2 linked regions of the Sus scrofa genome follow. The protein of the gene in region 2 binds, or shares a complex with, the protein of the main gene of each other region. Links are inferred from orthologs where the notes say so. Each region holds a gene or a part of one and is shown on either strand. Other genes may lie near its edges.

The links. The genes of interacting proteins can lie anywhere in the genome.
Region 1: the proteins of GSK3B (region 2) and FRAT1 are in contact, whole or in part, in a crystal structure (PDB 5OY4), measured with the Homo sapiens proteins. The link is inferred for Sus scrofa from reciprocal best matches to the Homo sapiens genes GSK3B and FRAT1. Residues at the interface, in NP_001139628.1 of Homo sapiens: Tyr216, Ile228, Phe229, Ser261, Gly262, Val263, Asp264, Leu266, Val267, Ile270, Lys271, Thr275, Pro276, Ile281, Tyr288, Thr289, Glu290, Phe291, Lys292, Phe293, Pro294, Ile296; in NP_005470.2 of Homo sapiens: His200, Leu202, Leu203, Leu206, Val207, Ser209, Gly210, Asn211, Leu212, Ile213, Lys214, Glu215, Ala216, Val217, Arg219, Leu220, His221.

What each region holds. Positions count from the first base shown.
Region 1 is NC_010456.5:108,737,915-108,741,659, forward strand, and holds the start of FRAT1 (proto-oncogene FRAT1), read left to right. Parts: upstream 1-1,324; 5' UTR 1,325-1,626; coding exon 1,627-2,466; 3' UTR 2,467-3,745. UniProt on the Homo sapiens protein: Positively regulates the Wnt signaling pathway by stabilizing beta-catenin through the association with GSK-3. May play a role in tumor progression and collaborate with PIM1 and MYC in lymphomagenesis.
Region 2 is NC_010455.5:140,134,758-140,138,502, reverse strand, and holds the start of GSK3B (glycogen synthase kinase-3 beta), read right to left. Parts: upstream 2,395-3,745; 5' UTR 1,302-2,394; coding exon 1,214-1,301; intron 1-1,213. UniProt on the Homo sapiens protein: Constitutively active protein kinase that acts as a negative regulator in the hormonal control of glucose homeostasis, Wnt signaling and regulation of transcription factors and microtubules, by phosphorylating and inactivating glycogen synthase (GYS1 or GYS2), EIF2B, CTNNB1/beta-catenin, APC, AXIN1, DPYSL2/CRMP2, JUN, NFATC1/NFATC, MAPT/TAU and MACF1.

The DNA.
Region 1 (3,745 bases), on a different chromosome or scaffold from region 2:
GCACCTACTGCCTACAAAGCAGCCTGCAGCAAGACAGGATTCTTAACCCACTGAGTGAGGCAGGGATCAAACCCACATCCTCAAGGATATTAGTCAGGTTCTTAACCTGCTGAACCACAAGGAGAACTCTTCCTGCTCCATATTTTAAAGTAGCTCTCTACTGCCTGGTTTCTGTGTTTGTGTGTGCAGTGTTTTCTGGCTAATAGTTTTGCTCTGTTGTTTTTTTGGCCACAATTGGCAATAGGCATGCGTAAATTCCCTGGCTAAGTTCCCAGGAGCCAGGGATCTAACTGGTTCCACAGCAGTGACCCAAGTGGCTTCAGTGACGAGGCTGGATCCTTACCCCACTGCACTACAAGGGAATTCCTGTGGCTAACTGTTAAAACAGCTTTATTAACATATAACTTACATCATAAAATTCCCTCATTTTAATTTTTAATAAATTTACCAAGTTGTGCAACCATCACAGTTTTAGAATATTTCCATCACCTTGACACTATCCCTCTCCTGTAAAAGGCTGGTCCACCAATGGTCTACATGTAAGTGTAATGTGCAAGTTAGGCTTGAGGGACTTGGGATTTTGCATAAACCTCCAGGCAATACGACGGTAAAGGATCATTTTCCACCCCTCTTTCTTTTAAAAAATGAAATCTTGGTTACTCATTAAGCCAACCACGGTACCTTGAAGGGTTACGGTGGCCGTAACCTCTATTTCCATCCAAAGAACTGACCGTTTCCTCTCCTACTCCCCCTCAGAAAGGAGACTCCCCTACTGGGCTGAGGCATTCTTCTTAAAAGAACTTTCTAGCCCACAGCTTCTCCCAAGACGAGCAACCTCCTCTTCAGTAATGACAGCTCCAGTTCAGGTCCCCACATACCCATGCTCCCGATGGAAAAAGCATGAATCACGGGGCTTTCTCTGCCAATTCCCAATCCGCCACCGCCATCGTATCACAGGGTCCTTCGACCTCTCCGTCAGCCTCTTTTCCCTCATCTCCAGACAGATCTCTAACCTGACGCCTCTCCTGGCCACCACTCGCCTCACTTGCCTCGCCATCACTTCCCAAACGCTGGCATCTCGGACCTCAAAGGCGCAAATGCCAAAACTGGAAGAGTCGACGAGCCTAGAGAAGTGTGTAGGTGTGTGGGTGTAAGTGTATGTGCTAGTGCTAGTGTGTGTGGAAGAAACCAACGGAGTCCACGCTGGTGTCCATCTTCTGGCAATGCCAATCACGTCCGGTTAAGAGAGCGAAGACCTGCTCCCCAGTGCCCGCCGCAGGCAGAATTCAGGGCTGTGGAGCTCAGGGGTACCAAGGCTTCCCCTGTGCCCCTGCCCAGTGGGCGCTCCGCCCCCAACTGGCACGGCGCACCCCCGCAGCTGCTCGGTGGTAGAGCCCGGCGGCTACGTCACCCATTGTTTACAAATCAACCGGAGCCGGTAGGATTCCGGCTCCCGCGGCTGCAGGCGCGCGGCGAGAGTACCCAGCGGGCTCCAGCTTCAGCGTCTTCCCCAGCCCCGGCTCCGATCGCAGCACTGCTCCCCTCGCTGCCGCGGCCCACCGAACCCTACTGGCAGTCGAATCCCCAGCGACGCCGGCAGAGCTCCGGGTGCCCGCGCGGGGGACCATGCCGTGCCGGAGAGAGGAGGAAGAGGAAGCCGGCGAGGAAGAGGAGGAGGAGGAGGAGGAGGAGGACAGCGTCCTCCTACTGGAACAGTCGGTGACGCTGGGCGGCTCGGGCGAGGTGGACCGGCTGGTGGCCCAGATCGGCGAGACGCTGCAGCTGGACGCCGCACAGGACCGCCCTGCCTCCCCGGGCGCTCCCCCGGGACCGCCGCTGCAGCCCCCGCGGCCCCTGGCAGCCGTGAGAGCGGAGAAGGCCCTGGCCACAGCTCTGCCGCCGCTTCTGCCGCCCGGGTCGGCGGAGGCTGGGGGCCCGGCGCCCCCGGGGGCCCTGCGCTGCCCCCTCGGGGATCGCGGCCGCGTGCGGGGCCGGACTGCTCCCTACTTTGTGGCCGAGCTTGCCACAGGCCCCAGCGCTCTGTCCCCATTGCCCACTCAGCTTAGCCTTGATGGACCCTCAGGAGCGGTCAAGCGGGGTGCCCCGCAGCCGCTGTCGGGCCCACGCCGGCGAGGATGGCTGCGGGGTGCCGCCGCCTCCCGCCGCCTGCAGCAGCGACGTGGGCCCCAGCCTCAAGCTCGCACCGGCGATGATGACCCGCACCGGCTTCTGCAGCAGCTCGTACTCTCGGGGAATCTCATCAAGGAGGCGGTGCGGAGGCTTCATTCGCGACGGCTGCAGTTACACGCAAAGCTTCCCCAACGCCCGCTCCTTGGCCCTCTGTCGGCCCCGGTGCATGAGCCCCCTTCGCCCCGCAGCCCTCGCGCGGCCTGCAGCGACCCTGGCGCGTCCGGGAGGAGGACACAGCTCAGAACTGGCGACGGCGTTCTAGTCCCCGGCAGCTAACAGCCCGGGTGTGGCCTCAGCGCCAGCCTTTGCCTGGAGGGCAAGGGGTTCCCCTGAGGGCTGCATCCCTACTCTGACTGGCGAACTCGCGCTTTTGAAAGCGGGGAGATAACTCGTGAAGACGAGGAATCGAAAAATAGCGAATATTTTCGCGGGGAACTGAGGTCGAAGGGCCAGATATGGTTGAAAAGTAGGATTTAGTTGGTCCAACTTAAGGCAATTTACAGAGCCCACTCCAAGCTCACAGTCAATAGGACTCCTTATATGGCGTGACCAGTCCTGGTGGCACGGCGTGCAGTTCCACGCAGCCTCTCGGGGTCCTCTGGCCCAGCGACCATGTCGCCACAGCCCACGATTCTCAGGGTCGCCGAGCACCTGAACGAAGGGGGATGACCTCAGTTCCTTGATTTACCTTTCTAGGGCTGGTTCCTGATCCACTTTGGGGAAGGGGAACACGAGTAGATAATTTCAGAGTACCTCAAACTGCCAGACTTGAACATTTACGACACTTAAAACTCATCTCGTGTGTTTTGGGGTGCTGGTTCCTAATCTAAAACACGCGGCACCGGGAAAAGGACCCTTTCGGAAATTGAATAGGAGTAACCTTTTCTCCGCCCCCACTTAGCAGCGGCAGCGGTTCTCAGAGCGGTGGGGAAAGGGGGTTGCGTCCGGGATGCTGAGGTGAAGTGGGGGCGAGCGGTGCTGGGGAAAAGGGAGGGCGAGGCGCGGAGTGAACCCTCAGTCCTCTCAAAAGTGTATTTTCGCAGCCCGACCGCCCCTCCTTGGGTTCAAGGTCACTGTTTCCTGGGCGCACGTGAGATTGCGGGGCTCCAGCAGGGCAGAGAGTTGCCTGGTTCCGCCTGTACTCGGGGTAGAGCGCGGTGTTTTGCAAGTGCTGAAGTCTCCTGAGGACACGCGTACCCGCTGCCACCGCGTGTGTAGGGAGTCGGCGACGCGCTGGGCTCTGGTGCCTCCGGCGGGCGGCCGCGCCCCGAGTTATCACGGAAACTGCCCGGAGACAGGGCCTCGGGTACCTCCTCTTCCCCTCGGCCTTGCTGTACTACTCAAGCTGGTGGCGCTGGCGCTCCTGGGGGCCCAGGCTGGAGGCTGGGGAGACGCCACGTGACGGGGCACTCCAGGGACACACAGCCTAGCGCAGCAGCTTATAATGGGCTCTCGGGGCCGTTTGCAATAACAGCTGCAATTCCCTGGGTAGATGGAGTTGATTTCCTCCTCTGCCCCTCCCCCAGCCATGCCAGCTCGCCTTTGTAAGCGAAGG
Region 2 (3,745 bases):
CTCCTTCTTCTAGGCAACCAAATAGTTTTTCGTTGTCCTCATCATGCCCCTTTCTTGAGAAATAAGGAAACAGAATAGATATTTTTGTCAAATTCTGAAAGTACGTTTAAATAAACTCTTTAAATTCCACATAAACAGAGATACACAGGAACATCTGACACTTAGTGTACCACTCAACTAGACTTTTCTGCACAAATCTAGCAAGAGGGTCCAGTCTAGTAATAACCCTGAACAGAGCCCAAATTATACCCTATTATATCCAGGACCACAGCATTCTGCAAAACCTATGATGAAAAGGTCTAAATCCATATTCCTCTAACTGGATAGTCTTACCTAAAGAAAACCAATGCAAGAGTATTTTAAACAGTCTTAAGAAGGGACCCCTGAACTTTACATCATTTAGCATGTATGGAATGCAATGGCATCCCCAAAACTGATATATGGAGGGTCAGTGACAGTTAACATTCAACTCAGTATCTGACAACATGACAATACAAATCTCGATCAAAACCAGGACCTACTTCCAAGTTACCTTTTGATTAAATATTAACTCTATAGTGGTAGACTTAAAACAATGCATGTTGAGATACTACTGCTACTGAGTATCAACCTCACGGGTCCCTTCTAAGAGGAGGAATCAATGCTTGCCTGGAAATGTGAAAGTGGTCACTGAGCAAGTTCATCTCTGGATTAAGAACAAATGCGTTGTACAGTCACAAAGGCAAGAAAGAACTGTTAAGAGACTGTGACATTTAGCTCCTCTATTAAGTGTACAAAACTATGATAACCCCTGAGATCTGAGCTAACTATCCCTTGTTCCTAAAGACACACTGCAAAAGCACATAATGGTTTATGAATCTTGTCCTTCGCTTTATTCATGAGAATGAGCCAAGTAAACACTTCCATCACTATTTTAAGATGGAAATAAGTCAACCGCTTGATAAAGCTGGCAAGAAAACTATAAGAAATATTTCAAGTCAAATCATCCAAATAAAAATCATATTCCCTCTATTCAAGGTTAATGAGACCGGGGGAGGGAGTATGGGAGGAGAAAAGAGGGAGCTGCCTCATCCTTGACAGAAGACAGGTTTCTGCCCTTTTCCATTATCTCTGATTGTTATATCAGACATCATATTTTAAGATCCTGGTATTTCAAAGTCTCTTATTTAAAGGGTGAGGTGGAGAAAGAGTGTAAAATAAAATCAATACTCACTGCTAACTTTCATGCTGCCAAAAGCTGAAGGCTGCTGCACTGGCTTGCAGCTCTCCGCAAAGGAGGTGGTTCTGGGCCGCCCTGACATGATCACTGTCTTCCCGAATCACCTTCTTTTCCTTCCTTCCTCCTCTTCTTCCTTTTGTTTTATGTTGGGGTGTTAGGTTAATGATAAACGCAGCATTAAGTTCTCCCACAGGAAAAAAAAAAAGACTTCGTCCTCTTGGCTCTTCACTCCTTTTGTATAGCGACAAAAAAATGCGAGCGATGTATTTCTCCTTGAAGACAGATCAGTACGGATATTTAACATATAGATGATCTGGGACTGGGGAAAAAAAAAATACAATTCTCTCCCCTCCCTTTCCTTGGAGGGTAGAAATGGGTGGGAGGTCCTAAAAAATATGTATCACGTGAAACGGGGGCAAATACTTGATTGAAAATAAGTACTTTGAATATTATATTTTCCTCAGGGATTTTTTTTCCGAGTCAATGAAGAAGGGAAGCGGCGGAAGGATCACGAGTCTCACGCTTGAAAAGAAGGGGGGATGGGAAGGAGGGAGGGAGCGGGAGGGGGTGGCTCGGAGATGCGACGGGAAACGCTGCGGCTCCGGCAGCGGCGGGATCCGGCGGGCTGACGGCTGGGGCCCGGCGAACTGGAAGGCGGCGGAGTCGCGAGTCAGTCAGAGGCGGGCGGTGGCGGCGGCTCCTCTCCTCATTGCGCCAGGAGCAGCTGCAGGCGGCGGCTGGATCCAGCGGCCATGGCGGCGGCGGTGGCGGAGGCAGCTCCCTTCAGACCCCAGGCAGCGGCTCCTCGACTGCTCCCCATACGCCGGGGACATGGGAACCCGGCAACCGCTTCCGTCCCTCGGGGCCCCCTCCCCCGTCCACGGCACCGGCGCGACCGCCCTCCCTCCCGCCCCTCGCCTCTGCTCGGTCTCGCTCAGGAAGTGTCCGCGCTTTGCCCCCAGCCCGAAGCCCTGTCAGTGGCTGCGGGGCCGGCTCCTCCTCGCTTCCTTCCTTCCTTTGTCACTCGGGCCCGGGCGGCGGCGGCGGCGGCGGCGGCGGCGGCGGCAGCGGCGGCGGCAGCAGCAGCGAAAGCCCGCATTCGCCCGGGTCGGGGGCTGTTCTGTGTGAGGAGTGCCGTCTGCGCAGCCGCCTAGCTCTTCCCCAACCCCTCCCCCCTCCTACTCGTCCTCCGCCTCCTTCCTCCCCCACCCAGCCTTACACCGCCCAGCGCCCCTCCGCCCGCGTAACAGGCGTCTGAGAATTGCCGGCCGAGCCCGGCGCCCGCCCCCTTCGGCAGGGGAGCCGAAGCCCGAGCGGAGCCAATCACGGACGTCGTTTGTTTGCGGCTCCTCCCGGAAAAAGCCGATCGGCCAGAGGAGCCAATTAGAAAGTACCACTGGAAATCACGCCCAAGGGCGGAAAGTGCCGAAGATAGCCGACCGAGAAGAAGATGGGTTGGAGTGATACTGTGGCTGGCTGGAGGAGAAATTCGACAATGGCAGCAGCGGCCAATCAGAGTCGCCGGCTCTCACGAAAAAGCTTGAAGAGTTAAGAACTGTGAAGCCGGGAGTTGCTGGTGAAACCGCAAGGCTGGGAGCTGCAACCGCTTTGTAATTGGCCAAAACTCCGCTGGGAGTGTACCTCCCTTGGTGATTGGTGAAGAGAATGGGGCTTCCGAGGACAGTCTGACCAGTCAGGACGTCTCCTCCCTGGCCAAGGTGGGGAGAAGTAGAAAGCGAAGGGAGGGCTCTATAAAGCGCCTTCTCATTGGTCTCAAGCTTTGGAGCTGGAGTGGGGGCAAAAGGGAAAAGGAGGGAGACCGAAAGCGGTAGCAGTAGCCAATCGGCACTCACTGCCCTCCAATCGCGAGACCTAGCTGCAGTGTGATTGGCCTTCGGCCTCGGCGGCGGTCCCGGCAGCCGGGAGAAGCGCGTCTGGGGTTGTGGTGGATGGTCAGACAGGCTTGCCTGTGGCTACTCGCAGCCTGTGTGAAAACCGCAGATAGCGCGAGCCCTTCGCCCGCCAGTGGGAAACTGCTGCAGTCAGCCGGTCGGGGCTCGGAGCGCTCAAGCGAACTGAGGGTTTAAGGGCTCTCTCCCCCTCCCGACTACAGGCTCCCGGCGGGGCGGGGCTCATGTGCGCACAAGGTTTCCCTCCGCTGGGGAGAGCGCGTCTCCAGTGCCAGCTACTTCCCCGAAAGGCCCGGACGGATTCAGTGTGCTTCCAGGCAGGGGTGCGAGTTCTCAAACGCTAAATTGAGAACAAAGCTTCCACCTCTGCGCGGCCGCGCCCCGCCCAAACGCGAAGGCCAGTGATAGGAGTGAGGCCGACAGCCCCGCGCGCGGGCGCGCCCAGGCCCGACCTTCCAGAAACGCCCCTGAGAAATGAGCTCATGGTGGCTGCGCGCGCTCCTCGGGCGCGACTGCCCTCAGCGAAATGGGCCCGAGAGCAGGTGAGGGGAAGTGCAGTCAGGCCGGATATCCTGAAGTCCCTGAGGAAACGGGGAGTCAGAATAGCCCTCCACAG